Rhinolophus ferrumequinum: one gene and its partner. The protein of the gene in region 2 purifies or fractionates together with the protein of the main gene of each other region. This does not show direct contact. Links are inferred from orthologs where the notes say so. Each region holds a gene or a part of one and is shown on either strand. Other genes may lie near its edges. The genes, in order: COL5A1 and MMP2.

Region 1 (15,091 bases), on a different chromosome or scaffold from region 2:
AAAGTACGTGTTGCCTCACCTGGTTTGTTTAAGTACACTAAATATATTTTTGGAATTTGCTGCGGGCCCATTAAAAATGGATTGCGGGCTGCAGTTGGCCCGCGGGCCGCAGTTTGGACACCCCTGCACTAGAGGGATAGTTTGCGAGAGACAGGGAGCCACTCACATGGCTAGCCAGTGAGCAGAGAGCCAGGAACTCGGTGCCTGACCCCAGGCCCCTGCCTTGTGCTGCTTGGGGTCCAGGAAGGACAAAACAGTGACAAATGGGGTTTGCTCTGTGCTTCGTACATGTTATGCAATGAACCCTCAAAAAATCCTGCAGGAGTCACAATCATCACCCATTTTTATAGGTAGGGAAACCAAGGCATGGGAAGTCACATGCACAGCTGGCAGGAGTGCAGCCAGGATGTGAATCAGGCCGCCTGGCCCTCACCAACACCGCACGCCCTCGCCCTGGTCTTCATGTTGTGCCCATGAGAAGAGCCAAAGCTGGCCCCACCTTCAGGATCTCGGGATCTCCAGCTGGACCAGAAATCTTTGAACTTAACATGTGGCAAAGTGCTGACATCAGCTGATTGGATTACATGAGAGAATATAAATAGCGGGGAAAGCAGAAGCTATAATGTAACGTCGCCCTCCTGCGAGTAAAAAAAGACTTGTCCAATTACCGGATCCAGCTGGCCCTGCTTGCCCTGTGGTGGGACCCACGGCCTCCTGGCCCAGCAGCCTCCGTGGCCACAGTTCATCTCCACATTGCCCATTTGGCAGTGGGAGGGCATGTAAGGGGAGAAATGTCGCCTTGCCGCCAGGCCCTGCATGCAGGAGCACCTCGGGGGACCGTGTAAACACGTGTGCCCAAGCATGCTTATACACGCATGTACACTCACAAACACACACCTGGACACATCACACATGCACACACTCTGACACACACATACAAACACACACATGCGTGTACAAGCTCAAATGGACCTGTAAAGCATTTCTGCAAGTATTGCCTTGTGTGATCTGTACAAGGACCCCCATGGGGAAGTGGACCCACCAAGCAGACCAAAGACGATCAGCTCGTCCAAGGCTGATTCAGCTCATGGATGGCGGAGCCCTTGGGGTCACACTGGGGACAGAAGCCTCCGTGGACAGACACACCTCCCCCTACTATGCTTCCTCTGGAATACTTGCATGGAGAGGAGACTGTGGCAACGCTATGCTTTCTCCTTTCAGAAAATGCCACCAAACATAGCAGTCAGGAGCTCAATACACACCGGACGCTCCACACGCTCCTCCATGCAACGCCTCCATCTTCACAACCACCCCTCAAAGTGAACAACGCAATCTGCCCCATTTTCCAGAGGGGAAAACTGAGGCCCAGTGACTGACCCCAGCCCAGCCAACCTGAGCATCTCTCAGACGAAAAGAAACTCAGTTTGCCCTGATTTCTCAACTGCCCACACTGCCCCCGGGTTCAACAATCTGATTGCCGAGGACTGTCTCCTCCCACACCCAATGGCCTGTCACCCAGCACCGGTGCCCGCACACCCCCAGACAAGGCTGCAGCATCTGTCAGTCTGTCTGCAGAACTGCCTGGCCTCGTGCAGAGAGGAGAAAGGGTTAAGGGCCCCCCAGCTCTCCCTCTCACTCCCCCTCGGATGCTCCCTCTTTCTCAGCTGGCACAGCACTCCGGGGACAGGCCTGCTGCTGGGGGCACCCCGCCAACCAAGTTAATAAGGGGCTTTCCAGCCAAGGGAAGCAGCCCAGCCCAGGTGAACACCGCAGCAGGGTCTGGAACGTCCTGCCAGGAAGGAGGGAGGACCAGGCTAGAACCAGAGGTGGATGAGGGCAGCTGCTGCGGAGACACTCAGTGCATTTCTGGGAAGAAAGCACAGGGAAGGAGAGGAGGGGAAAGGCCTCCTCCAGGAAGAGTCCCCAGACCTCCCCAATGGAGTCAACCCTCTCAGACTGTTTGAAAGGACACTCGGCCTGAAAATGAACAGTGAAATGAACAGTGTCCACGTGTGTGCCTCCCATCAGACTACAAGCTCCTGCAGTGGAGACTGCCACCTTCACCTCTGTCCTTCTGTAACCCTCCAGACCAGGGCAGAAAGGCAAAAAGCCTTCAGGGGCCAGCAGGTCATAGGCTGAGAGAAGGGCCTGGTTAAGGACAAGGAATGGTGAAGACTGCAGGCAACTGGTCACCTTTGATGGCTTTCCATTTAAAAAAGGAGGGAGGGAGGGAAGGAGGAAGGCAGGTGAGAGAGAGAGAAGGAGAGGGAGCGAAGGAAAGAGAGAGGAGAGTAAGGAGGGGGGGAAGGAAGGGAAGAGGGACAGAGAGGAGTAGGGGAGAGAGAAAGGAAGGAAGGAAAACAGGGAAGGAGGCAGGGAGCAAAGGAGGAAACTGAAACACTGTGCTGGCCAAATGGAACACCTCCCTCATCCGGGGGCCACCTTTGGGCTAGGCCCCCAGGCCTGGACTGCAGCTCAGGGCGCTGGGCCTCTCCCAGGCGAAAGCTGATGATAAACAGACATAGAACTCCAAGAAGTCAAAGGCGCCGAGGCGTGGCCGTGCCACAGAGGAGGACAGAGCAGCTCACTCAGGGCCCAGGCACAGAAGTCAGACAGACCCAGAATCTGGGGTCCCTGCTCCCCACTTCCTGGGCCTCTCAGAGCATCAATCAGTCCCTCCCTTACTGTTCAGGCCTGTGTGAGGGTCCAGTGAGATAATGTGGACACAGGGCATAGCACAGGCCAGGTAAGTGCCAGCAAATCCCTTACAATCCTTACCGTGTGACGGTCTCACAGGGAGGCGGGAACCCTGCTCTGCCCTTCTGTGCAAACCCAGGGACCCAGTGTGGGTGCAGCAACAGGGCCTCAGGGGTCCGGGTGACTCATCCTTGACCCTCCAGGACCTCCAAGCTAGTCGGCCTGCACTGTCACTGTTATTAAGTGGGGGTTAGGGGGCCAGCGGGTGTCTGTTCCCCACACCCCTCTGCTCCACCCAACAGTGTCTGTGACCCAGGCAGGGACAATGGGAGACTGGGCCAGACAGCTTGAAGGCAGGGGCAGGGCAGGCTGGCATCAGCTGTGCTCAGCTAAGGTGTGGCTGTGGTGAGAATCCAGAAATATCTGAAGGGTGGGGTAACGGGGCAGGCTCTGGCCAGCACCCCAGGAACAGCTCAGGAGCAACATCGCCCGAGAAGGGACTTTGTGCCTTGGCAAGGGGAAGAATCTGCTGTCCACGGCTACTGCTGGGTGGTCACAGCTGCTGGGCAGTGACCACAGCTCCAGCCCCTCCAGCCACTGAAATCTGGAGCCGATGAGGCAGAGCTCTGGGAATCAGTTTGGCTTCTGAACTCCTCCCACTGACTGTTCTTTTATGGGGGGGAAGAGGGAGCAGGATGGAAAGGATGTCTTTCCAGCCAACTTGATTGAGTCAGAGGCAATTTAACCATTTGATCTCGGTCAAGTCCCACCAAACTTGGACGACTCTTCCCACAAATGATTGCAAAAAGCAATCACATGACCGGGGCCAACCAATGACATGCAGAGGAGATGACCTCAATTTCCAAATATCGGGGTCATGTTTCATTTCACATACTCTCCTTTGCCCGTTACAATGTTAAACGGCCCCAAATGCAATCTTACTTTTCAATCCTTCACACACTTGGCCATGAAGAAGGTAGGAAAAAGAGCCATGTTCAGAGAAACTCGGAAAACATCTGGTACACCCCAAAATGGAGAGAAGGAAAGGCGCTGGCTGATGACCTCTCCCGCCTCCCTGCATCTCAAGTGCACAGCCAGGCACTGGAGGATGACTCCAAAATGGTCCCACCCTAGGCAGTGGGTGGAGAGAGGTCTGTGGAACCCACCAGAGAAGTGGCTTCTTCACATGCTTCTAACGTCTCTTTGACGAAAGCAAAATGTCCAGCTCCACCAGGAGCTGGGTCCACCTCCAGGCTTCGACTCCCACAGGCCGCCCTCAAGTAGGAAGGGAAATCAGAGCAAAAGCAGGGGACAGGGGCGGGAGGCAGAGACGGGGAGCAAACACATGCTCTGCACGCTGCCCAGCCAGAGCCCAGCCCCAGCTTTTGGGGTGGTGACCCCATTGAAGGGTTCCCTCTCGAGTTTCTGGGAGAAAGCCCGTCAGAGGAGCTGGGACAGAACTAAGTCCCTGGGTGACCATGGGGTCCCATGCCACATCCCCCACCCCGCTGCACACCACTTTCCAGTGAGGCCTCTAGTGTCCCCCACCTTCACCTGAGCCGGGGAGAAACACAGAGCCAGCCAGCCCAGGCTTGAGGGCACGATGGTGGCCACCCAGGGGGAAGACCCCAGTCCCAGTCCCCAAGCCACACAGGCTCCCCTCCCCTCCCCCAGCCCCTGAGGTGCAGGACACCCAGATTCCTGCTCACCCTCCTTGGCCCAACAAGCACTCATTGTGCCAGGAAGAAGGGAAAGACTATCTTAATTGATTGGCCAGTGAAATATGGAAAGTGATTCTTCCCACATGTCTTCAAATTAGGAAGTGGAAGAGAGAAGCGGGGGGCAGTGAAGTGGTGCCTTCTCACAGGACGGCAGCTGTCCACTGAGCCCACTGCCTGTCACTTCCTCTGACTTTGCACCAGCAGCTCTGAGCCTGGTCTCCCCACCTGGTAATGGGGACTCAGGGGACTTTCCGGGCCTTGGGCTCCATTGTCTGAGGGTGTGTGAAGACCCCTCCCACAGGTAACCACCAAAGGTGATGCTTAGAAAGCCACTGTCCCATCAGAAAGCTGGCTCAGAGCTGCCACCAATCCAGGCAGGCATTCGGTCAGTGCCAGCTCCCACCGGAGAGGGCTCCTTCTAAAGGCAGACCTCTAGCAGGAGTCCCACATCTGTACATCGCGTCTAAACCTCTCACAGTTTTAACACCATCTCCTGCTTTGCTCCAGGAACCCATCTCTGGGCAGCAAACGCAGGAAAAACTGCCTCCCAGGAAGTCAGGGGGTTTGGGGTGGGATTAGGAGCAAGGCTGCTGGACCATCCTCCAGGGCTCCCCCGTACTACTTGCACTTAGGTGGCTGCAAGAAGCCCTGTTCCCTGGGGAGGTGAAGAGCCAGCCCAGTCTAGAGGCAGAGGGAGAGTGCGCTCGGGGGCAAACGCAGGGCCGGGGGCTCAAGCTTCTGGGATTCCCCCCAGTACCCCTCCTCCCCCCGCCTCCAGTCCCTGCCCGATTTGATGGGCTGTGGCTCTAGGGGGCGACCCTTCCCGGTTTTCAGGAGAGGAAGTTCTGCCGCAGGGCTGTGCCGGCTGGGCCAGAGCTGAGATGTAAGAGAACGCAAAGTTTCAGGACAAAAGTTTGCCGGCCTCGAGGACAGCCCTCTGGCTGATCCCACACTCAGCGCTTCCCGGGTTCCCGCGACAGCCCCACCCGGTCGGCACGTTTGGCGCGCGGGGCATTGTGCTGGCGAGTCTCCCTCTCCAGGGCCCCCAACTAATGGCATTCGGAGTCTCGGCCCGTGCATTCCAGAGCCAAGGGGAAACGCCGTGCAGGCGCGGGAGAGGCCGGCAGCCGGCGCCGAGGTGACAGCCGCGCCCGGCCCGCGTCCCGTCCCGCAGCCCCGCCAGCGCCCCGCGCGCCCCCGCGCTCGAGCGCCCTTACCTGCGCGGCTCGGAGGCGGTGCCCACAGCAGCAGCAGCAGCACCAACAGCAGCGGCGGGGACAGCAGCGGGGCGCCCTGGCGGAGCGGGCTACGCGCTTTCCAGCGGGTGTGGACATCCATGCCGGCTGGGCACGGGTCGGGGCGCGCAGGGACGCTCGGGGGCGCGGGCTCGGCCCGGGCAGCGGACTCAGCGGGGCCGGCACGACCTCAGGAAGTCATGGGGAGCAGGCGCCGGCCCGTTCTCTTTGTGGCAGCGGCTCTCCGGGACGGGTCTGCGGGTGCGCTCGCCCACGGGCAGGAGGGCTCGACCTTGGCCCGCGGGGCGGCCGGGACCCCGCTCGGCTCGCTCGCTCTCGCCTCCTCCAACTCCTCCAACTCCTGCTCGCCTCCCCTGGCCGCCGCCGCCCCGCGACCCGCTCCCCGTGGGCGCTCTGCTCGAGTGAGGTCCTGCACCAACCGCCGGGACGAGGAGTGCGGACCTCGCCTTGGGCGCCGAGCACTTTTTTCCCAGGTTCCTCCCTCCCTCTCTCCTGGAAGGCACCCGCGGAGGCTGTCGATCCCAAACGCCTGCAGCAAATCAGAGCCCGGCGCTGGGCTCGGCCAGGCCGGCCCCCGCCTCCCACTGGGCGCCGGGGGCGAGGGGGTGGGGACAGTGGGCGAGTCGCTGCGAGGAAGGGGCTGGCCCGGGGCGGGAGCAGACGTGGGGCGGGCGCGGCGCCCCTAATGTCTCGGCGGGCGCGCGCTGAGGGGCGAGGGGGCGGCCTCGGAGCCTAGGAGCCCACCCGGGGCCCTACTTTTCCCGCCCCAGGTGCCCGCACCTGGCCGAGACCCAGGAGCCAGTGTGGAGGGGCCCGGAGTTTGATGCCTTCGGGCTAAAAGGAAAAAGTTGCAGCTCACCCCGCCTAACTTTTCTTTTACGTGGAGGAGTTCAGAGCCCCTCTTCTGGGTGGAGACTGAACTTCCAATCCCGCCAGATCGCGGCGCCCAAGACTGCAGCCCTGACGGAGGACCCGCCCTTGCCTTCCCCCTAAATGCAGATTGGGCGTCCTGGTCAAATTAGGGTCTAACTTCCCAAGGAGTCCCCAAAGGAGCTTGCGTGTTGCACATCAGGCAAAGTTGGGCCAGGCACCCCGTTCTCCCCTCCTTACTTCAGCCTACTCCCTGGAAGTCCCTTTGGGAGCTGACAGCAGGCAAGGGAATAAGGGTTGTGTGATCCCTGGGGCCTGCTACTGGGGCCTGCCTTTCTGCCTTCACGTCTTTGACTTGTCTGAGGCCTGGTGAGGTCCCCCTCCAGCCCAGGCCAGCCAGGCTCCTCGCAGTATGTGGGAGCCCCTCCTGTCAGGCTCTTGAGGCCCAAACAGCCTCTTGGCACAGCCTGTTGAACTCCCAGTTCAGCGCCCTTCTGGGAGAGCTGCAGCGCTGGGTTTTAAAAAGCAGAGGCATGAAGGTGAATTAAGAGGGCTTTTCAAACCGTAAGCCATCCCTTCTCCTTTGAACAAACAATCCAGCCAGTAATGCTGAAACAGGGCTGGGATCCCCACCTCCCTGTCTCCAGTTACACCCCTACACTGGGCATGAAATTCCTCAAATGCCCCTTAATTCCCCTCACTCTGGAAACAGGCCGGGAGGGGAGTGGAGGGGGGGTCAGAGGTTCGGTTTGCGGGGGGGCCCCTGGAGTTGGGTCCCTGGTGCTAACTGTTAGGTCGGGCTCCATCTTTGCCTCGTGTACTCACTAGGTATCGTATTGCCCAGACCAGAACGAGAGGAGGGTCTGCACACAGACGTGAGGAGCTTGAGATACGCTAAGTAAAGCAAAATGTTCTTTCAGTTTCCATGTTTCTTTGTGATTGGATTTTGTTCTCACAATGCGTATAAGTCATATATGTGATCAGGGGAAATGTGTGTGTTTGAGTTGTGTGCATGTGTAAGTGTTTGTGTGAGGTGTGCGTGTGTCGGGGGGGTTCCAGTTAGAGCTGCTGGTTCTTCACTCTCCTGTGTGGCTTCATGACAGAGAAGTCCCACCTGACACTCCCTGAGCCCGCCCCCAGCAGCCTCGCCTGACCCCCAGAATGCCCCCCACCAGTGGGAAGGCCAGCTTCTCTCCTGAAGACTTGGGGGTACTGACAGAAGTCAGTGGCCTGGCTATCAGAAGATAGCACAGACTTTCGGGGTTCCTGCTTTTCCCCAAGGACACGTGGATCCCCTCTGACAGTCACCTGTGCCTCTGTGCCAATCAGCCAGCCCTCCCAACATCTGGAACTCAGAATGGGTGTCTGAGCTTTGGCCTGGGTTAGCACAGCTGGTCCCTCAGGAGCTGGAAATCAGGTGACCACCCAGGGGCCCCCAAAGAACTGACCTCTCAGTAAGAAGACTTAACTTCTCACGGCTGTGAGCAGATAGGACATTTACCTTTTACCCTCTCTTGGGGAGAAAGGGATCAGGTGGGCTGATAGACATGTGTTTCTACTTCATCCAAGCCTGGAGAGAGAGGCAAGTTTCTATCCCACCAGAAAACTCCGAGAAAAGCCCCCAAACTGGGCAGCCCGACTGCAGGAGATGACTGGAATTCTGGGGGCAGCAGTGCGTATCAGCCATGTGTCAGGGCTCCGCTGTGTTGAGCCCTTGTCTCCACTTTAAACCCACACTTAATCAGGTTACACACAACACTGGGGAATGATCGCATTTGTCCCCTTTACCGATGAGGGATCAGAGAGGGTAAGGAGCTCACCCAAAGTATCAGCTCACCTGTGGTCGAGCCAGGATCGGAACTCTGGTTTGCCTCTGGGTGGGAAAGATGCTGACCGCCTTGCCCAGTGGTGACGGTGGAGGCTGAACCCAAAGGCAGCGTCACTGCCCCCTCCACCCCCTTGCAAATGATTAAAACAGCGGGTCCTTTGAAAACTGTTTATTCTGTTCTCGGCTCTAGGGGGTGTGCAGTGAGCATGACACCTGGCCCCTTGCAGAAGGGCCGCAATGATGCTGACACCTGTGTGAGGTGTGGCTGCTTATTTGCAGGTGTGCTTTCCTCATCTTCTGTAATTAACGCCAGGGTCCAGTCCAGCCCACCCACATATATACACGTCACTCCTCCAGGGAGGGGACCCCCTGTGGTCCAGGGCGCTGTACACCCCTGGCCTACTACAAGCGCCACCGCCCATTGCTGTACGTTTCCCCGGGACCAGGTGAGGCCGAGCTTTGCACCTGCGATCTCACTGCCCAGCTTCCCTTTCCATTGTTGCAAGTCTTCTCCCTTATTTTTAGGCAGCAGAGTTGTGGCTCTCGACAGACCACCCATGACAAATACCAAGTGCTGCCCTCTTGGGTTTATGTTTCTTTGCCCACCCTCCCATCTTAAGGGGCCACCCAGCTCCCAGAGTCACTGTGGGGCTGGAAATGGCCAGCCCTTCCCAGGGGTGCTCTCCCTCCAAGGCTGCGGGTTCCTTCCCTCCAACCCCCTCACAGGTGGGAGCTCACAGCCAGCAGAGAAGGCGGAGAACTAAGGTGTCTGCTTGCCCTCCAAAAGCTCATGGGCCACTGGGGCCCCAAGGAGGCCCTGAGAGTGTGGGGTGGGACAATGTCCAGAGGGAGGGACCTGTGACGGCATCTTGCCCTGGCTGCTCATCCAGCCTGGCCAATAACCTCGCTTCTTTGGCACATGGAGCTGAGTGTGTGGTCTGTGGCCGCGTTCACACTGCGTGGGCACAGGTGAGGGGCAGGACACAGGCTGAGATATAGCTGTCTCCCACTCCTAGCTCCCTCACTGCCCATAGCCACGTGCTTCCCTTCTGGGAAGGAGGTACCCCAGGCCTGCGTCTCGAGCGCCCAGTCTAGCCGCCCAGGGTGTGCAGAGGAATGGACAGTCTTTGTGACCGCTGTTCACACATCCCTGAGGGTGGGAGCCGGGCCTAAACGCTGTGTGGTCACGTGGGGTCGTGTTCGTGTCTCCGTCCACCTCCAGCAGGGCGGCCCCTGGGCCTGATCTCGGCATCTGGGGCCCGGCCCACTGTCTGTGCTAGATGAAGGTTCAGTTAGTGACGGGGAGCTCATGGGGCTATGCTGGAAAGACCGGGCACGACACAGGAAGTCAGGGCCATGTGCTCTGGTCCTGGGCGTCACACTTAACTCCAGGGCCCCATGAGTCCATCTGAAATTCTTGACCCATGGAGCCCCCCACCTACGTCGACACCTCCAGAACTCCATGACATGAAGGCTCTTCCACCCCCAGTCTCCCCAACGCCGAACCCAGCAAAGGAGCTGCTTGTCCCCCCAGAGCTCACAGCCAGGACAGGGAGGTACCAGGCCCATCAGCCCTGCACAAGACCAGTCGAGAGTGGGCTGGCGGCGTCATTCCGACCAAGCACACACATGTACCAGGCGGCTGCAGTCCTTATCATGGCTGCAGAGCGTCCCCGGAATTCAGGAAGCAGGGCTCTCGAGGGCCAAGGGGCCACCCCCCTGGGGTGCAGGGACAAGGCAGCATAAATCACAGAGCCGGTGACCAGCCACCGTGACGGGTAAGGCAGCCCGACCATCCCTCGTGTGCCTGGCCGTCTCCCTGGTCCGCGAACAGGTTTGTTTCTGTGTCAGCCCACAAAGGCTGCTTTCCTGAACCTCAGTGTTCCCACCAGGGGCCCAATAAACTTGCCAAGTAATGGGATTTCCAGACAAAGTGGCCCATGACGGACACCAATCTGACTGTAGGGGAACTTTGCAATTATTCAGCGCCGTGGGGTCACACGTCTCCCAGCCTGGGGCGAGCTGGGCACTTACCGCCAGGAGAATGTTTGACAGACAAAGTTGAGTTTGCAGCTCAGGAAAAACGTCAGTTGGAAAAATCCTTGTTGTAAGGAACCACCTGTGTAGGTGGAGAGAGCTGCCCAGAGGTCAGCAGGCTGCTCCCCGGATTCAAATAGCAGTTTTAGGGTGTATGTGCTGGCACCCAACATCAGGATCTCGTTGGATCCTCCCCACCGGCTGGCATGTGACTCCCACTTAGGGTGGAACGTCCACAGAACCCAGAGCAAAGGGCCTTCTGACCCCAGCTTCTCACCTGGAAAATGGGGCCAGGAGAGCCTTCCTTCATAGGTTATGTGCGTATTATTTGCAAAGGCTCGTGGGCTGTTCCAGGCGTAGAGCATGTGCTCAGGAAATGCTCCATCCATCTCGTTCCCTCTGCTTCACCAAACCTCAGAGGGTTAGCCAGTAGGTGGAGGTGTTGTGGGCACCCAGGCCCCATCTGAGCAGTGGTTTCCACAGGCCACCGCACTCCCTGCCCCTCTCAGGTCTGTGAGCGCAGATGGAGGTGATGTGGCAGAAATACTGTGTAAACTGCAGAAGAATGTCTCATAAAGGTGACAGGGCCCTGATCCCATCTGCAGTGAATGCTGCCGGGCCTCCTGGACCCCCTTCGGGACCTGGACTCTCAGGTGCCCCTGCAGAAGTGTTGGCTACTGATGGCCATAGCTGAGTTCCTCGGCCCCTCCCTGTCCAGGGGAAGCCACTCCAATGCATGGACACGCCCGCCCATTCTCCGAAACAGCCATGCTTAAGTTTTAAAAAGCTCCAGTCTGTGGCCGTGCCAACTTCATCTGGGGCCTTGTGTTGGTGTCCTGGGGCTGCTGAAACAGCTGGATGACTAAAACCATAGAAATTGATTCTCTCTCAGTTCTGGAGGCCAGAAGTCTGAAATCCAGGTGTCACCAGGGTTATGCTCCCACCAGGGGCCCTGAGCGACGACGGTCCTTCCTGCCTCTGCCGGCTCCTGGGGCCCCAGGTGGTCCTGAGCTGTGGCCACATCACTCCAGCCTCTGCTGTCTCCACCTGGCCCCCTCCTCTGTGTGTCTGCTTTAATCTCCCTCTGCCTTTCTCTTATAAGGAAACTTGCGATGGCATTTAGGGCATACCTGGGTAATCCAAAATGATCTCTTCATCTCAAGATCCTTCACTTAATTACACCCGCAAAGACCCTTTTGCCAAATGGGTCCCATGCACAGGGGGCCACCATTTACCCACCATAGTCCTGGACACAACAAAACAGACCTCTGTGCCTGGAGTCTCCCCGTGCTCCCCACATCTGCTGCCGAGGAGACACCAGAGCCTGCCGTGGTTTGGAGCAAGGGGTCAGTGGTATCTCGTGTGCGACCCCGTGCACATGCAGAAACCCTGAGGTGTTCTCCGTGTCCTAAGAGCTGGTCCCAGCGGCAGGGCTCAGGCTGACACAAGGACAGGGAGCTCGATGGGGACCTGCGTGTGACGGCACACTGCCCGGGCATGCTGACACTGTCTGGGATTGCTGTTTTTCCCAGTAAGGCCCGGTTTTATTTGTTTTCATTTCTGGTATTAAACCAATATTTTTAATGGAAATAGCTCCCAGATTAGATTTTCTTCCATAAGAGGAAATAAAAGGGAATATTGAATTGAAAATGAGTCTTCCTAACTGAAGTCCAACCCAGAAATCGAATTCATTCACTCCTCCGAATCTTTGAGCACAGTCCAGGAGTCGGGCTGTTGAGAATGCACGTGACTTGGGGTAGCAGGAGGAGGGCAGGGAAGGAGGGGCAGGAAGCTGCCTAACACCCGTGACCTTCTTTATTCACTCACGCCACAACACAACACCCCCAATTTGCAGGTGAGAATCCAGACTCAGTGCATTTAAGAATGGGCGCCAGGGCTGTGGAACCCCGAAGGGGAGGAGGCAGGATCCCTTCAGAACCAGGATCCATGGATACACGCTCTCCCTGTGCCACCTACCAGCTGGCAAAGGTGCTGGTGGGATCTGCGTTGACACTCAGAGCCTGATGGGCAGGGTGGGGGCACCGGGAAGGAGTGGGTGCAGAGCTAATGTCAGGGGACCCCAGGTAGGTCTGGCTGTGGGAGGCTGACAGTGGCTCCCAAAGGCAGGTCTGGGCTCTAATCCCAGAACCCGTAAATGTGACCTTATTTGGGAAAAGGGTCTGCACAGATGTGCTTAAGTTACGGGCCTGGAGATAAGGAGACCATTGTGGTTTAGCTGGGCCCTGAATGCCATCCCTTAGAAGAGGAAGACATAGGGAGATTCAAAAATAAACAGAAAGAAGCTGATACGAAGACCCAGGCAGAGATTGGAGAGACACATCCACAAGCCGTGAAATTCTGAGCCCCCAGGAGCTGGGAGAGGAAGGAAAGACCCTCCCCTAGAGCCTCCTGAGGGAGCACGGCCCCACCCACACCTTGATCTCGAACTTTGGAGCTCAGAACTGGGACAGAACAAGTTCTGGTTGTTTTAAGGCCCCTGTCTGTGGTCCTTTGCCAGGGCGGCCCCAGGACACAAATACACTGCACAAGGTAGGTTCCCACTTCCCTATCTAAAGACCCAAAATTCAAAGGTGTGAGGGACCAGCTGAAATTCCACCGGAGTCAGGGGTTGCATGGTGCCCTCCTGCCTGGGTACCTGGCACCATATGTCCACGGCTCATCAGTGACATCTCAAGCTTGCCAACCTGCCTGCACTCAGAAAACACTGGCTGTGCAGCCAGGCTTGTCATGACTGTCACCTGGGTATTCACGGCCCACCTTTCAGCCTAGGAAAAGCCAGACTCCGTGCCAAGGAAAATGAAACAGAATGTGTGTAGCGCGAAAGAGACCCTAGGCTTGGGCATCTCCAGGCCACCCCCCCTCGGGGGGGGCACTTCCATTCACCAGGCACCTCGCCAAAGCCCCCACCTGGTGAGGAATTTCCCCTTTGAAGCCCAAAGGCCCGTGCCAGTTGGGAACGCATGAGACCCAGCTCCTTGCAGGAGAATAAAGGCAGTGAGCCGACGGCAAACGCTGGCGTCGATTGGGCACTCCTTGTTTTTGTCAACAAGGAGATTTGTTTTAATGGAAACCAGCAGAACTCAACTTGCAGATTTTCCACTCCTGCAGGTCTCAACGGCGGCAGCGGCCTGGCTCCCTACCCCAGGCAGGACAGCTGCAAAGCTTCTGGACCCGTGGGGGGAAAGGGGGAGGGGGAGGGCATCCCTGGTGGATTCTGTCTCTCTTCTGCTTCCCCCAAACCCCACCCTACCTGCACCTCACCCTCTACTCACGGGCCCTGAGCTGTGGGCTCCAATGTCACCGTCCATCCCACTGCTCTTCTTGCTGCACGGACCCCAGGGACAGATGCTGACCCCTTCCCCTGACTCATGAGATAGAGGCAGCAACAACAGAGGGCTTCCTCCAAGCTGGTTGCACACCTCGGCCTCTCTGTGCCTCAGTTTCCTTGTCTGAAAAATGGGCTGTCATGAGGACTCAGTGAGACAACACGCGCCCTTACAACCTGGCACACAGAAGGCACTCGACACACGTTTGCTGACGTCAGTCAGGCTTTGGCCTGGATGGGGGGACGCTGGCAGTGTGTTTGTTCCTAAACTGGCCGGCACGCAAACCTTGGACTCTCTGAAGTCTGGACACCGGAAATAACAGCAGCGCTGGTGAGAGTCCCTTCCCCACTGAGCCAGGGCCCAGGCCACTGGATTGCTCCTCTCTTACCTCTGCAGGTCTCTGGAAGTCTAATCTTGACCCTGACTGCTTCGCCTCAGGTCTGTCCACTTGCCAGATGTTAGGAGAGGTCCACTGGTGGGCTGGCGCTGGCTGGTACCAGCTCGAAACAGCTGGCCGTGTGCTCTGTGTTCAGCGACCCTCATGTTGATGGCTTAAAATCAGTCATGGTAACAGTATTTACACCATGGAAATTGGCAAGCACTTCAAATCTGGGCCTTTTTCCTGAGTCAGCCTTTAAACATCTGTCAGCACCCCACTCACTTCTCCCTGAGTGTACCTGACCTTGCTCCACTTCCTTACGGTTGGGTGGTGGCTGCCATCTTTCCCTGAAGACTTTCAGGCTGGGGCGGGGGCCGGGGGCGGGAGGATGAGAAGATCTTCCCCTCGTCCTGTTTAAAAGTCCCAATTTCCTGTGTGGTGGCCATCTGCTTACCTAAGGAGCCCTCCTTCCTAAACAGCTGTCGTCAAGTCGTTGAGGGACTGTAATATGGAAAAGGAGGGATTCCAGATGGGCCCAGAGGAGAGCAGAAATCGACTGGGTAGATATTTGGGGAAATACTAGTTCTTTCATTGCACAGGTGTCAGAGCCATAGGGACCTTGCCAGGGTTCTTCTTGGAGCCCCCTTAAAGCTCAGCGTGTTTTCAGAGCAGAGCAAGGAGATAATTATATTGTGAATGAATCTGTGCCCCACCGCCACCACCGCCTGTGCCTAATTACTGGACATCCTGTCCTTATCACTGAGATGTCCTCCGAAAAAGTGTAACTCACGCACAGCTCAGCGCACAGGCTTGAGCAGTATGAAGAATTCAGTGCGTAGTGACCACCAAGCCTGTTATCTGCATCCAGTGGTGGACTGTCAAAGCTGGGGGGGCTCCCAGAGGTGGGCTAAGTACCAACACTATCACTTCAGTGCTCAGCGAACACCCACGAGGAC
Region 2 (16,050 bases):
CTCCCATCGGCTGCATTTCTGCCGCCCAGGAAGCCCCCATATCCTTTCAGATCCTGCCCCCAACAAGGATGAAGAGAAACAGACACTGACTCAGCAGTCAGGAGGGGCTGAACCACCAGAACCTCTGCCCCAAGACCCAAACACGTGCACGCTGTGCGTACTTGCATCTGGCTAAGACCAAGTACGTGGCTGGTGTCCAATGCAGGGAAAAACCCTTCCCAAACTAATGAATTACAGCTGTTTCCACTTCTATCATCAAGGCATTCGGTTCTAATCACAGGGGTTGACACATGGGAGGGTTAATGCTGCTTGAATCCCTGTTGGAAATTCAAGATACCTAAAATATTTCTATTTAAAATTACTGACGTATTAATAGTCAACGGCTTGAATTCATACTTAATACAAAGTTTCCTGGGGCTGGTGGTCAGTGTTCAGTTGCGACGGAGTCAGAGAGATTCACAAACATGTAAAATATATAGATCAACGAGTCTTCATAGGATAGAGGAGAAAGGAGTATTTAGAAAAACGTTTGGATTTTCTCCCATTTTTCTCTAATGTTCTGGGCTTTCAATCTCCAGCATCATCAACTATGACAGCTTGACCAAGTATAAAGTTATACATACTATCGTTTTATGATTTCTGATTATAAAGTGTGTCAAGGATATTTTTAAAAAGAATTGAGTGTGTATGTCAATACCCCTACATCTTTAAAAATGTTTTTCCTTCTATGTGGTTTCAAAATATTTGAAAATTTTATGCTTTGAGCATTGACAAACACACACACACAAATATTGAGTCAAGTCTAATGCCTTTACCAAGATAGAGAGATGCAGACACAAGCAAAGACAGACAGCAACGGAAAGAGGCAGATGAACTGTCCCCTTGCATGCACGCGCACGCACACACACACACACACACACACACTCCACTGGAATTGTCATCAGAACCAGGGGTAATGGCTGAAATTCCAGGGGTTGGTATCCCCAAGCCAGGTTGGGTACCAACCAGCCTTGGTGTCTGAGTCTCACGCCTGATCCTACTGCTAGACTTCTGACCTATCCCAAGCCTGTACTCATGCTTTTGAGCCCCCAATCCTGGCTGGAGGGGAGAGTGTGGGTGTACAGAAAACCATTAAGCATTTTAATAGTTCTAAGTTCATTCTAATGTATGTCAGAAAAAAATATTTAGCATATCAAACCTGTGATTTCACAAATCTTACTGTTCCTGGTGACACTTAAAACAGTATTGATTTAGTGACAACATTAAATAAATAATTGTACAGGTGAGAGGGACAGTGGGATTTGAAGAAAGTTGGGGAGATGCTGGTTGACTGGCAGTGCCAGACCTGGGGCGTGTAGATGGCGGGGGACAGCAGGGAGCCCGGGAAGGCGAGAGTCTGAGGTGGGAAGCCAGGTGGACTCACATTCATGGGGGCAGAAGCCGTATTTGCCATCCTTGTCGAAGTTGTAGGTGGTGGAACACCAGAGGAAGCCGTCACTGCGGCCCGTGTCGGTGCAGCTGGTGTACTCCTTGCCATTGAAGAGGAAGGGGAACTTGCAGAACTCCCCATCAGCATTCCCGTACTTCACACGGACCACTGAGGGGTGACACAGGATGGGGGTGAGTCTCTGCAGGCCTTTCCTGGGAGACCCGAATTCTGCGCGACTCCTCTCGCCTTCCCATCTCTCTGGTCCCACCAGAGCAGATGGAGGTGCCTGAGATTGCTAAGGAAGGCACAGTCCTTTTACTAGGCTACAGGGAGCCATGCAGAGGACCAGAGAGGAGGCCTGTGGGTGGTCACTCGCTTACCTTGCCCTTCTCCCAGGGTCCACATCTCATCATCATCGAAGTGGGAGTCTCCTCCAACACCGGGGCCCGGGGCGAAGGCGTGAGCCAGGAGTCCATCCTTGCCATCAAAGGGGTATCCGTCTCCATGCTCTGCAACACACTGGGTCTCAGCTACTAGCTGCCCAAGCTGGGCCCTGAAACCCAGCCACACCCCATCCACAGTTGGAGCGCTTTAGCCCACCTGGCATCTGTCCCCTTCCCTGTCCTGTTATCCAGAAGCGGGGACACAGCAAGTCAGTAGAGAGTTGCTGATTTGATGGTTACCATCCTAAGGTCTACACTGTGCTGGCAAGTCCACCGCGAATATCCGTACCACCAACCCCCAAGCCCACTGTGCCACCCAGGTCCATACCACCCCCCACACGTCTACACTCTTTTCTGTGCTGTGCTATTTACCCACATCACTATACTACTCACAATGTCTACATTACCTACCCTCGTGCCTCCACTACAGCCAGTGTTCACACCCCCAACCCCAGGTTCTATTCCACTCACTCATGTCTACACTGCTCCGCTGTTTCAGATCCACTCTCACACCTAGAGTCCCTCAGTGTCTCCCAGTGTCACCCAACTGCACTTTCTGCGACGACGGGAATGTTCTTTGTGCTGTTTCAGTCCATCACAACTGGCCCATAGGGCTCCTGAGCACTGGCAATGTGGCTAGTGTGACCGAGAAACTGAATTCTACATTTCATTTGATTGTAACTCACTTAAATGTAAATAGCCCTAGGTGTCTAGGGGCTACCATGCTGGACATGCAGGAAGACTGCTTCTTTCAGGGTTACACGGCCTCCAGGGAAGGCCCAGTGTCATGTCATCTGCCCTCACATCCACATGGACCATCTAAGCCGCTCCAGTGTCTACACCTACTCTCCTCGTTCAGCTGCCCTCGGGACCCTGTGCCTCTCTAATGGCCAGATCACCCCCTCTCCTTACTGAACCCCTGCTGGCCCCAGCTCTCCTACCCCAGCGGCCGAAGTTAATCATTATGTCAGCCTCTCCATCGTGGATACGAGAAAACCGTAGGGGGGTCACATCACTCCAGACTTGAAAGGCACGAGCAAAGGCATCATCCACCGTCTCAGAGTCAAGGTCAGGCGTGTAGCCAATGATCCTGGAGGTAGGAGAAATGCATATGAGTGTGTACGTGTGTGCAAAGGAACATGTGTATACACATGCATGCAAGCATACATGCATGTGTGCAAGTGTGTGTATATGCAACTGTGTGAGTGCATGAATGTGTGCAAGGGTGGGTGTATGTGCACAGGTGTGTGGGTGTGTGCACAAGCAAGAGGGGTGCATGCGTTGGAGTGTGCACAAGTGTGTGCCTGTGAGTGTCCATGCTTGTGCAGGTATACGGCGTGTGCTGAGCAGAGCTCACGGGGAGGACAGCCTGCCCAGAACGGCTTGAGGTTCCGTGCAGTCCTAGATGAGCCAACACCTTCAGGCCCTGTCTCAGGACTCCCATCCCTTACTTCTGGCTGCGGGGACACACAGGGACATGAATAGTGCATATGGGACACAGGGCAGAGACCTCATCCTTGGAATCCAGCATGAGCTGTACAGAACAGAGCTCTCAGCTCAATCAACAGCCAATTATAGCCACTCTATACTGTAACATAAAACCAATTAGCAACCAATCATCCAGCTCCCTCCACCGACACCAACGACCCCATCTAGTAACAATGGTGGCTAGCAGGTATTACACTGTTACTAGATGCTGGACACTGTGAAAGCCCTTTAGAAATGTGACCTAGCTTCGTTCCCAACCAACCTATGAGGAAGGTTTTGTTTCCCATCTTGTAGATTGGAAAGCCAAGGCTCAAGGCACTGAAAAATAAGTAGCCCAATGCCCCACACCTAGTAAGTATGAGATTCTAGTTCAGGTCTGTCTGACTCCGGTTCCTAAGAACTTTGTATGCAAACTTCTTAAGATGCTAAGTCCTCCTGAGTCACCTCCTGGCTGCCCGGAGTGGGGAGAGGCCCAAGGAAACCCCGTGTCCCGTAGCCCAGAGGCCCTGCTGCCCCAGCCCTGCCTCGGCACCTGTACGTGATCTGGTTCTTGTCCCACTTGGGCTTGCGGGGGAAGAAGTTGTAGTTGGCCACGTCGGGGTTCCCGCAGCGTGGCTTCCGCATGGTCTCGATGGTTCGCTGGTCAAGGGCACCTGTCTGAGGTAGTCCAAAGAACTTCTGCATCTTCTTCAGTGTGTCCTTCAGCACAAACAGGTTGCACCTCTCCTTGGGGCAGCCATAGAAGGTATTCAGGTATTGCTGGAAGAAATGAGCAACAGAGGCAAGCAGCCACATTAGGATGGCATAGTACTGACCAAAGCCCTACAATAACTAGTCCCCCGTCCAGCCCCATAGCTCAGAGAGGACATAATCCAGGGGCCCCAGGGCACTAGGTGGAGTCCTGGGTTCCCAAACCAGCTCTGACACCCACTAGCTGAGAGACTTAACAGCCACAGAGAGCATGGCTACCATGCACTGGGTGCTTACTATATGCCTAGGCACTGAAGCTAGCACGTAACTGTAATGCTCACAGTAACTCTATAATGTACTTATTATTACTCTCCCCATCATACAGAGGAAGAAACTAAAGTACAGAGAGGTTAAGAAACTAGCCTAAGATCACACAGCTCACAAATGGCAGAGCTGGATTTGGACCCCAGCAATCTGGCTCCAGCGCCATGATCAGAACTGTAACGCTCCACCACCCTTCTTTACCTCCATCACCTCTTTTAATCCACCTAACTGCTGATGACATAAGGATTATTTTTCTCACTTTTCTTATAGAGAGATTCAGGGGCTATGTGCATGGGCTCCAGCCGCAGAGACCTGGGTTCATATCCTGGAATGATCATTTTCAAAAAGAAAATAGTCCTGTCCTTCAGGGGCTGTGCAGTGGCTCTGCCAAAACCAAGGCCAAAACCAAACAGGCCCGTACAAAGAGTCAGGAACCAAGCAGCTCATTTATTTGTTCAACAAATACTTTTTGGTATGTCCCATGTTCTAGGCCTGTTGCTAGTGTTGGGATAAACTGGTGAACACAACAGATGTTTCTAGTCTGTAGGGCTCAAACCCCAATGGGAGAAGGCTGATGGACCAGAAATAAATGCAAAATTAAATATGTGCTGGGTACTGCATTAGAAAGGTGAAAGGAGTCAGGAGACCCTTTTACAGGGGCCATAACCTTGTTTGGGGGGATAGTTAGAAAAGGGAAGATACAGGGTATAAGAATAATAATAATAACAATAATGACTAATACTGATGGAGGGCTTACCATGTGCTACTTCAAAGTGTCCAAGAGGTATCATTATCATCCTCCCTTTGCACAAGAAGCTGAGACTGAGAGGTGGTCATTTGCCCACACTTACTAGGCCAGTTGGTGAGTGCACTCCGGCGTTTGAAGCCCACTTCTCAAACCTCCCACTGCATGGCCTATAGGCGACATAGACTTGCACACGCTGTGGAAGGTGTGGGGGCCCAGGTAGCTTTGTCAATGCTCCAAAATTCTACCCTCACCCCCAACCAAGAGCCACATCACAATGCCAGCCAGCTCCAGACCTGTGAGAAAAGTAGCCCCCTAAAAATGTAAAGTCTCCCAACCCATTTATGCAGAAGGGACAGAGGCTTAGATGCAGGAAAAGGGGGGGTCACATCCTGAGAAGGGGTGCCCAGGGTGACCTGGGGCATAAAAGTGCTGTCTTGGGCAGGTTGGGGATCAGGCTGATGGAGCATAGGGGATTTCTAGGGAGTTAAAGCAATAAGGGGCAGATGTCTTGTGGGCTAGAAGGAACATTTTGAGGGGTCTCCTGCTTGAGGCACTGACAGGGTGAGGGGTAGTGCCCTTCCGCTGCCCCCCGAATCCCGCTGAGGCCTGGGTGCGCCTGGAGCCAGGCGTGCTCCCTCTCAGAACAACATCTGAGCCGCAGCTCGGAGCCCCGCCAGGAGGGAGGGCTGGCTGGCCACTCTCCCACCCGCGGGTTCCACCGCCCCCGCCCCACGCGCCAGGCCTCCTGCGCCTGCCCCTCTCTCCATCCCCGCCCCGCTGGCCACCTCTCTCCTGCCCTCCAACCTCTTTGCAGAAGTTCGAGGAAACTTTCTGAGGTCCAACCCTTGACTCTCCAGGCCAACTTGTCCACTGAGCCAGGCAAAAAAGATGCGCTCTCCTTTTCCTTCCTGCCCTGAATATTTGCCCAAAGGTTCCCTCACGCAGGTCTGTCCAAGGCCCCTGTCCAGATGTGTGCCAAAGGTTACCAGATGTTTGCCAAGTCCTGCTTGGCCTGGAACTCGAACTTAACGTGTGCAAGAGTTTATCCAAATTGTGCGTCAAAGAATCCCCTTCCCAAAGTGCTGCAGGGGGTTAAAAAGATCCTCCACCGTTTACAAAAGGGACCCCTTTAGGCCTTTTGCCAAAGGCCTACCAAGAGGCTAGCCAAGGGCCTGGTTAGCCAACCCTACAGATGTGTCCAAAAGTTGTTTACAAAGCCAGCCCCCTTGCCAAATCCCCCAGATACTATACAACGTCCCCGTTATTTACAAAAGGGGCCTTTTCCAGCTGTTTGCCAAAGCACCTCCTTCCCTTCCCTGAGTGTTTCTCTCCTCCCTGCTGTGTCCTGAAAGTTGCCAAGTGGTTTATCAAAGACCTTCTCCACTTACCAAAGATCCCCTATGGTTTCCAAAACAGATCCCTCCTCCAGCAGGCCGACTTTACCCCCACCCCCACCCCCACCGAGCTGTTTACTGAAGCCCCTCCCCCATGTTGTCTGTCCCCAGAGGTAGGGAGGAGGTATGGCTGGGAGACCCCCACCCTCCGCCTCCTAGTTTTTATAAACTTGGCTCGCTGAGGCCCGCGGAGCAACTCACCACAGCCAACTCTTTGTCCGTTTTGGGGGCGACATCTCCGGGGAACTTGATGATGGGAGATGGCCGGGTGGCGGCCCGGCCCAACAGGCAGCCCAGGACGCAAAGCGCCCGTAGGGGGCCGGCAAGCGCGCCCCGGGCCACTCGCGCATCGGTCATTGCTCTCCCGGGCCCACACGTCGCCCAGGGGTCACTGGCTCGGCGCGTGTGGCTGAGTCGCCTCCTGGCTGGCGCTTGCTCCGCCGCGCAGCGCTGCGCTCCAAGGGACCACTAGACTCGGCGGCCTCTGCTTTGCCCGCTCAGCCGCGCATGGTCCGGCCCCCGCTCCCCGGCCCGTGCCACCACCGCCTGTGCTTGCCGGTCCCGGAGTCCCTTTGTATGTTTAAAGCCCCAGATGCGCAGCCTCCAGCCGCTGCCGGAGGAAGTCTGGATGCAGCGGAAACAAGGGAGGGCAGCCGCCAGATGTGGCCGGCTGGGCTGGGAGGGCGCTGGCAATGTAGGGAGGTGGGGGGGGGCGGGGGGCGCTCAGGCCCGCCTCTCTCCGCACCACTCCCCCACTCGCCCTCCTCTTTTATCCTCCTTGCCTTTCTCCGCCTCTTTTCCCTGCCGCCTGCTGCTCCAGGCCTCTGCGTGCAGCAGCAGGGCGCGACCTTTTTACCCCTACACACCAATCCGGGCACAAAGCCTAAGAGACCCCCTGCGGGGAAACATCTGCCACGACCACTGTAGACTCACGATATTGGAGAACGGCGGTTCTTGGAAGGACGCCCGGGGGGCAAGAATGTCAGCACTTCCAGGGACACGGGTCAGAGATGGAAAGGAAGGGTCAGAAGCAGACGTCAGCTACGTGATGGAGAAAGATTGTAGATGTTTAGAGATGAAGATAGAGAGAGATGGACAAAATGGAAAGCGACAGATGGAAACAGATAAACTGGAGTGTCCCACTCTCCTTCCTCCCTTCTTTCCTTCCTCCCTTCCTGCCTTTCTTCTTTGCCTCTTTTCTTTCTTCCTTCTGCAAATATTTAAGCATTTACTGGGCCTCAGGCATAATGCTAGGTGCTGTTAGGTTGGTGCACAAGTCTTTGCAGTTATTGCAATTATTTTTAACCTTTTAAACCGCAATGACTTTTGCACCAACCTAATAGATATACACTTGGAAACACAGAAGTCCTGCTACCTGTCTCTCAGGAATGTCCCCTCCCTCTCTCAGGAAGAATAATTAAGTGCTAAGCTGTGATGGGGGATCTCCAGCAGGTCCTGGCAACACCTTACCTCAGCCTCTAAACTAGTATAGATGGTCAGGGAAGGCTTCCTGGAAGAAGTGACTTCTGAGCTGAGACCTGAAGAGCTACAAAACAAAGGTTTGGGTTGGGAGCGGTGAAAGGGATGTTTCAGGCACAGTCTGGGGCAACACATACAAAGGTCCAGAGATGAAACACAGCAGGATGCACTGGAGAAGGGAGTTCCCTTTATCTGAGAAAGGTAGGGGGCAGGGTGATGAGATGGGCCTGGCAGTCAGCAGGGTCCAATTTGAGGAAGAAAATCATGGGTTGAAAGGGTCAGCAACAATCTGCCTGTGAGGGCTTTGGGGGTCGTGGTGATGAACCTGGCCTTTATCTTAATATCAGTAAAAGCCGTCTGCAGCTTGGATCTCAGTGGGCTTAAAACAAAATACAGGCTTGCCTGGCAGGCATGTTCTCCTGTCCTACAAGAGGTCAGAGTGAAAGGAGCCACTTGGGAGGGACTTTGTCCTGCAAGAGGGAGGCTGGCCTATCAGCCTGATCTAGGGAGAAGCCTTGGCTGTTTTGGGGAGGGTGAGTCTGAGGTCAGTGGGGAGGGGGTTGCCTCCTGTCTGGGCCCCACTTGGCCCAAGTCCATGGCCTGTGGAGAGTCAGAGAGCCAAGTTGGAGAGGCCAGAGCTGGGAGTGAAAATGGAAAAAGTTGTCTCACTAAAGCAGGGCTTGCAAACTCGTGGCCTGTGGGCTGAATCCAGTCGGAACAGCATTTTGAAACTTGGGAAACTTGATGTCAAAATCTGACTTTTTGCTATCCTTTTAAAAATTCCCAAAGCTCTGGCAATCCGGTTTCCACCTGGCAACAATTAGCTGAAGCTAAATAGTTGCTATTCCTTTTAGATGAGGCATGCATTTTGGTTTGCCACAGTCCCCACCATTCTCTATTGCCTTGCATGTGACTCACTCAGCTTAGTTTTGCTCATTGACATCACTTGCCCCTGTGGATGAAAAAGGGGCCACGCACTAAACTTGACAAGCTCAGCGGAGGCTTGCACGGCGGGCCCGACAAACTCAGAGACCAAAGTAACCACATAGGATGATCAACATAAAAATTTCTAACTGAAAGCAAGTCATGGCAGGTAGTCAGATCCTAGGCCTGTAGCTTCCTTGACAAAGGTCAGTCTTTGCCATAAGTGAGCCTGTCTGTTGGTCTTTTTGCCTGTAAGATAACATACTTTTGAAATGTCAGCATAATCTCTGCCAGACCCCTCACGGCACAACTGCATGCACCATCTAGAGACCACAGCACCCCTCATCATCATCTTATTCCCCGAATACCATCTCTACATGCCCCAAATGTTAATTATTAACTATCCTGCATCCACTGATGTAAGAGAAGTGTGTGTCTCTCTCCGTTTCACTTTTTATCCAATCCCAGCGATTTCGCTGCTTTGCTTTCTCCCGCCTTGTTAATCTACCACTAACGGATTTCACATAACCCTCCTTATGTCCTCTCCCTTGATTCTAATGTGTAAAAGAAGCTGCAAAACTGCCATTCTCTGGAGCATTTTCTCAGTCTGTTGAGATTTTGCTTCCCAGCAATTGTCATCAGTTTGGCTCAAATAAACTCTTATAAAACTTTTTTTTAGGCTGGGTGTTCTTTCATTGACATTTACTTGGTGCAGCTGGCAGGATTCCAAAGAAGCCCACCCAGGACTACCCTGTGGACCCTGACCCGGTGCTCGGTACCAGCAGGGGCCCACTGTGCCCTATGGGCTCCCCACTTTGCCTTAGGTGACCTTGGGTGAGTTTTTCTTGGAATTCTGAACCTCCCTATTTTAAGGTAGTTTTTTTAAGGCCCTGACTTTGAGCTGATCTTAGGGGGGAATAAATCCTCAAGGTGGCACTAAAGGTTAAGGGTTGAAATAACCCAGGCTAAGGACAAGGGTTGAGATAACTCAGGGACCAGAGAAAAAGAAATGGGTGGCTGTTTCTTTTCTTTTTCTTTTTTTTTAAGATTTTATTGGGGAAGGGTAACAGGACTTTATCGGGGAACAGTGTGTATTTTTCCAGGATTTTTTCCAAGTTGTTGTTCTTTCAGTTTTAGTTGTGGAGGGTGCAGCTCAGCTCCAGGTCCAGTTGCCGTTGCTAGTTGTAGGGGGTGCAGCCCACCATCCCTTGAGGGAGTCGAACCAGCAACCTTGTGGTTGAGAGCCCACTAGCCCATGTGGGAATCAAACCTGCAGCCTTCGGAGTTAGGAGCACGAAGCTCCAACTGCCTGAGCCACCGGGTGGCTGGTTTTTAATTTCGGCTTTCCAACGGAAATTACTTACTGTGAGTCTGAACAAAACCTTTTGCTGGATAAATGAGAGTCTGAACTTGTTCGGCTCCAAAGATAAGGGGCACTTACTCCCTTCAGCTCAAATTTCGGGTACGAGGTGACTAAGAAACTATGTGGAGGTGTTTGAGGGTAGTCCTCAAAATGAGCAGGGCCCCATAGGAAATTCCAACACCCCTGCAATTAAACAATTGGCTGCCCTGGGACACGCATATAAAAGCTTGTTACCTAGCGCGCTCTGGGTCCTCACAGTTTTATTAGATAGTATGGAAAGAAGCTGAGACACATAGGAAGTTTGGAGTGACTCGGGAGGTGACAGCACCTTGGAGCTCATAAGCAGTCCACTTCAGCCCACTACCCAAGAGCCCTAGAAATGTGTTCAGGCTTTGCAGATCTCAGAAGAAAACTAAAATGAACTTGGGAAATTTTGCCTCCCAGGACAACAAGCCCCCAGCCTCCAGCCCCATTAATATTCTTGTAGATGTACAATTCATAAAGAAACTCTACTTGCAAGTACTTACAGAAAAAAGATTTAACTAGAAGTGATATCAACTTAAGATGACCGAAATGGAGTTATTTTTACACCTAAATTCTTATTCTTATTATTTTTTTGCATGCACCATAGGAGAAAAAAGCCATCTCTAAAATCAAAAAGAATGAATGGGAGGCTTACCTCAATTGGCAAATAGAAGCCTCTGAAACAGAGCACAGAGATACTATCTCCAAGAAGTTAATAAGGAAATTTTAGAGACTGTCTCTTAAGTAAGGAAAGTTTCTGACACTGCTCAGTGCCAACAGCCCCACTTTTCTCTCTTCTCCAACTGCTCCGCTGTAGCTCTTTACTTCGTTGTCTGGACTTTCTTTTCCCCTCCCCCTTCTCTCTCTCTCCTCCACCTCTTTCACCAGAGCTCTCTATTGACCTAGGGGACACTCAGACTAGAAAACCAGACCACGGTAGACTAGGGGAAAAAAACAAAATCCAACAGAAATTCTGGCAGCTCCCTTTGGAGAAACGCCAGGCAAAGGAAAACCAGTGATTGTACACATTCCTTGACTAGAACAGAATTAAGGACTCTACCTTAAAATTTCCCTCACTCTCTGGGACCATATGAGTTTGCAAAGGAATTTGATTTAACTGTTAGAACATATGATCCTGGCTATTCTGACCTTTTCCAGTTAATATACCTACTGGTTTCTGAGAGGAAAGCAACAGATTGGGTAAATAAGGTTCACTGGGAAGCCCCTATAGAGGACTTGTTAAAACAGAGACAGACCAAGAAAAATGCAGAGAATTAGCCCTGTGGCTTTACCAAGCCATATCTGAGATGTTTTGCCCCAGAAAATGGACAGGACTAAGATCCAGCAATGTAAAAGAGAGCCTGATGAAACAGGGCTTGATTTCCTTGAACTTTACAAAGAAACGTTCAAACAATACACAGGTCTGTCTCCAGACAGTTTAAGGATCATCAAAATGATCCCTTAATATAATAAATTCGGCCTTTTTGGAAGGACAAGATGAAGAGCTGGAACTCTGATTAAACAGCATAAATTAAACTGGCTGACCACGTGTACTAATGAATTGGTAATTCTGGCTGATCAACTATCTAAAACAATTCAAAAGGTACAAAAATACAAAGCTGCCAAAATCATGAACTTACAGCTCCAGCAATTAAGCAATCAGGTCAGACCTCCCCGGAGGTCTCTTAGATAAGGGGAGAGAGGAATCTGTTCTTATCTTAAAAAGTCAGGTTGCCTTAAGAAGGACTGCAGAAAACTGAAATGGGATCTAGAAGAAGAAAAGAAACAGAAGCAAGCATTGGGCTGCTCCAAGGACTATGAGAGGGCATTTCCCCTTCTCCTTACAAATACTTTTGAAATTACCATAAAAAGAGAATGTAGGTAAAGAGAACTGTAGGTACGGAGCTACTTTATCTATTCTTAACACTACCCAACTGAGTTGTCCTAGCCCTTGGACTAAGCGTCTTTACAAATGGTAGGGACATCTGATCAACCAATGTCTGTTTTTAAATCAGAACCTGTTCCCTTCCAACTTGGGAATGTTATGTGTAACATACATATATTTTTTACTAGTCAAATCTGTCCCAATTCACCTGATATGGTGAGACTTTCTTGAAACCGATGACACCCACATATCCTTTTCCCAAAAGGATGAAAAGTATTTAGAACTAAATGAATCAGATACTGAACCAACTGAGAAAATAATGACTTTAAAGGAAACTGCACAAGAGAAAACTAGTCTTGAGACTGACTGAACGTTTGTTACAGGACGTTCCAATGCAATTCTGGGCCTTTTCCGGTACAGATATTGGCAAGACTAAGCCACTCCTATTAAAATAACTATTGACAGTACTTTGCCTCTATCTAATATTCACCAATATCCTTTAAGACCTAATGAACTGGCTGGAATTAAGCCCATTCTACAAGATACATAAAAAGGGGGCTTATAACTCCATGCATGGGCCCCTGTAATTCTCCTAACCTTCCAGTAAAGAAACCCAATGGGAAAGGATGGAGATTTGCACAGGACATCAGAGCTATAAATAAAGATATCCTGTGGTTCCAAATCCACATACCCTATTATTAGCTATTCCTGTGGATTGCCAATATTTTTCAGTGATGGATTTACCTTTTTCGGCATTCCTGTCAAAAAAAAAAAAAAAAAAAGACCTCTTTGCTTTCACCTGGGAAGATCGGGGCTTTACTTGGACAGTAATGTCCCAGGGGTGTACAGAGAGTCCCACCTATTTCTCTCAAATACTAAATGCTGACTTGAATGATACTGAATTTCCCAGAAATTCCACTCTAATCCAGTATGTGGATGATTTACTTTATGTTCTGGGATATAGTAGATTCCCAGGAGGATACAATCTATCTACCTATTACAAGAGCTACTAGCTATAAAGGGACATAGGGCCTCAAAGGACAAGCTTTGACTCTGTTTATCCCAAGTAAAATACCTTGGTCATCTAACATCTAAAGATGAGCTCCTAATGAACCATGAAAGGCTCAGAGGAATAATTTCCTTTCCTTTTCTAAAAGAAACAAAAGCAGCTTAGTGGGTTCCTGGGTCTGACTGGTTACTGTCACAGTTGGATGTTAAATGTTTCGGCAATCGCCCATCCTCTATAAGTCTTATTAAAATCAGTTCAACCTGATCCAATTCAATGGAACCCAGAAGAGAAACAAGCTATAAAGCTCCGAAGGAAAAATTTTCTAAAGCTCCTGCTCTGAGACACTTTACTGATAAACTTTCTTCCTTTTTTACATGAAAGTAAAGGAACAGCTTTTGGAGTTTTAGCTCAAAAACATAGAGTTCATCTTAGATTTATAGGATATTATAGTCAACAATTAGACTCAGTAGCCAAAGGGACTCCTCCCTGCATGACCGCCATCTGTGCTACAGCCACGTTATGCAAACAAACAGAAGAAACAGTTATCAGCTCTCCTTTATGTATGTTCCTCTTTCTGTTAAATCCCCACTGACCTTTCTTTCATCACACTCAACCCTTCTGTCAGTCAACTGGCTTCTTATGAAGCACTCTTGCTGTCTGTGCCTAATACTACCTTAACTTGATGTAACAGTCTTAACCTAGCGACTTTGCTACCTTCTTTGCAGGATGAAGACATCCACGATTGCATTTTGCTTACTGACCACCTTTCTTGCGCCTAGAATGATTTACCGAAAATGCCTATCAGTAATGCTGACATAATCTGGTTTACAGATGATCTGAAAGATGAACAGGGACATTACTGAGCTGGATATGCAATAAGATCCATGGTGGACATCACTGAAGGTTTTTATTTATCTGAATAAGATCTGCACAACAAGCTAAATTAATTCCTCTAACTTGAGCTTGTCAGTGGCCCAAGATCAAATAGCTAATGTGTACACTGATGGTCCCGGTGGTGAAACTCACAACTTTGGAATGTTGTGGAAGCAGCGAGCCTTCTTAACTTTCTCAGGGCAGCCCATGAAGAATGGAAAACAGGTTGCAAAATTATTAGATGCATGCAGCAACTGAGACAATTGGCAATTATCAAAATTCCAGGACATTCTAACGTTGCCACTGTGGAAGCAAAAGGAAATACTTTAGCTGATGGTACAGCTAGACAAGCGGCAATAAGCAGCCAAATTATCCAGACCCAAGAATGCTCCTTGTGTTCTATTAAATCAATAAGAGACTCTCTTTTAGGGTTCCAACAGACAGCTACAGAAGAAGAAAGGGGATACGGCAACAAAGAGGGGGAGCCTTTGACCCAGACAAACAGATGTAGCTTGGCCCCAATCAGAAAGCAATCTTACTTATAGGGACTTAATACCCTTACACTTCAACATGTGCAGGAGCTCACACATGGGGGGTCTTGAAAAGATGATTTCATGGAGTAAAGAATATTATTGGAAACCTTCTCCTACTGTAGCTCAAAGTGTATAGCAGATGTTCTATCTGTCCAAAATATAACCCTGGAAAATCACTCCAAGGGTCCCAAGGACATTTCCCATTTCCTTTAGGTCCATTCGAGGTATGGTAATTGGATTTTATCCAAATGCCACCATCTCAAGGATACAACTGTATATTCAGTATGATTTGTATGTTGTCTCACTGGGTTGAGGCATTCTCTTTCAGGAGGGCCTTAATGGGAGATAAATTATTACTGGGGGAGAAAATTCCAACTGGGGAATTCCTTCTGAGTTACATACCGTGTTTCCCCGAAAATAAGACCTAGCTGGACCATCAGCTCTAATGCATCTTTTGGAGCAAAAATTAATGTAAGACCCGGTCTTATTTTACTATAATATAAGACCAGGTCTTATCTAACATAATATCAGATCGGGTCTTATATTACTTTTTTTGCTCCAAAGGATGCATTAGAGCTGATGGTCCGGCTAGGTCTTATTTTCAGGGAAACAGGGTAGTGACTGAGGGACTCATTTCACTGGGCAAAGGATGCAATCCATCGGTAACATTTGGCCCATTCTACAGCATTTTCATTACGCCTGTCACCCCGGTCCTCTGGATTGGGGGAATGTACACGTGGTACAATTAAAACTCAACTAGGTAACATTTCAGAACCTTCTGATTTCCCTTGGCCAAAAGCTCTCCCGATAGTGCTTCTCCACCTGAGACCTACTCCTTCTGGTAAACATAACCTTTCTCCTCATTAAACAGTCACTGGTCCCTCTATGCCTCTGGATGAAGGGGCATACGAACCAACCTTACTAAAAGGAGACATTCTGCATTATTACGAAGGACTTAACAACCAGCTTAAAGAAATCGATAAATTAGTAACTGATATACTTCACACTGTGTTCCCGGGAGAGGAAGACTTCAAAGACCATGCCTCACAACCAGGAGATTTTTGCCCATTGGAAAAAACATCAGTTAAAGATTCTCTCCAAGCGCGTTGGAAGGAACCTTATCAGGTATTACCAACTAATCCATGTGCAGCTGAACTTAAAGGTGTTAACTCAAAGATTCACATTTCTCACCAAAAGTAAAAGATGCCTAACCACGAACGGACATCTGCCCCTGCCTCTGACGCTCGCCTCTGCCTACAGGACATGAAACAGTCCCCAAGGATGAGAAGCTGCTGTCCTCAGAGCCAGACAGCTATCCCAAGACATGGAGAGGGCCTGCATACCTACAAATTGATGTTGAACCTAAAGAACCATTTGTTTGATTGTCTTTACCTGTCTGCTAATAACGATCAGTCATAATAATAGTTGTTCTCTGGGCTTTTCT

The links.
Region 1: the proteins of MMP2 (region 2) and COL5A1 purify together in Homo sapiens (co-immunoprecipitation; 3 studies listed by BioGRID and IntAct, counting the BioPlex papers as one, with this or other methods). This does not show direct contact. The link is inferred for Rhinolophus ferrumequinum from reciprocal best matches to the Homo sapiens genes MMP2 and COL5A1.

Annotation. Positions count from the first base shown.
Region 1 is NC_046295.1:81,641,025-81,656,115, reverse strand, and holds the start of COL5A1 (collagen alpha-1(V) chain), read right to left. Parts: upstream 6,163-15,091; 5' UTR 5,757-6,162; coding exon 5,636-5,756; intron 1-5,635. UniProt on the Homo sapiens protein: Type V collagen is a member of group I collagen (fibrillar forming collagen). It is a minor connective tissue component of nearly ubiquitous distribution. Type V collagen binds to DNA, heparan sulfate, thrombospondin, heparin, and insulin.
Region 2 is NC_046298.1:8,769,694-8,785,743, reverse strand, and holds the start of MMP2 (72 kDa type IV collagenase), read right to left. Parts: upstream 7,209-16,050; 5' UTR 6,874-7,208; coding exon 6,718-6,873; intron 4,120-6,717; coding exon 3,893-4,119; intron 2,963-3,892; coding exon 2,814-2,962; intron 1,939-2,813; coding exon 1,810-1,938; intron 1,598-1,809; coding exon 1,424-1,597; intron 1-1,423.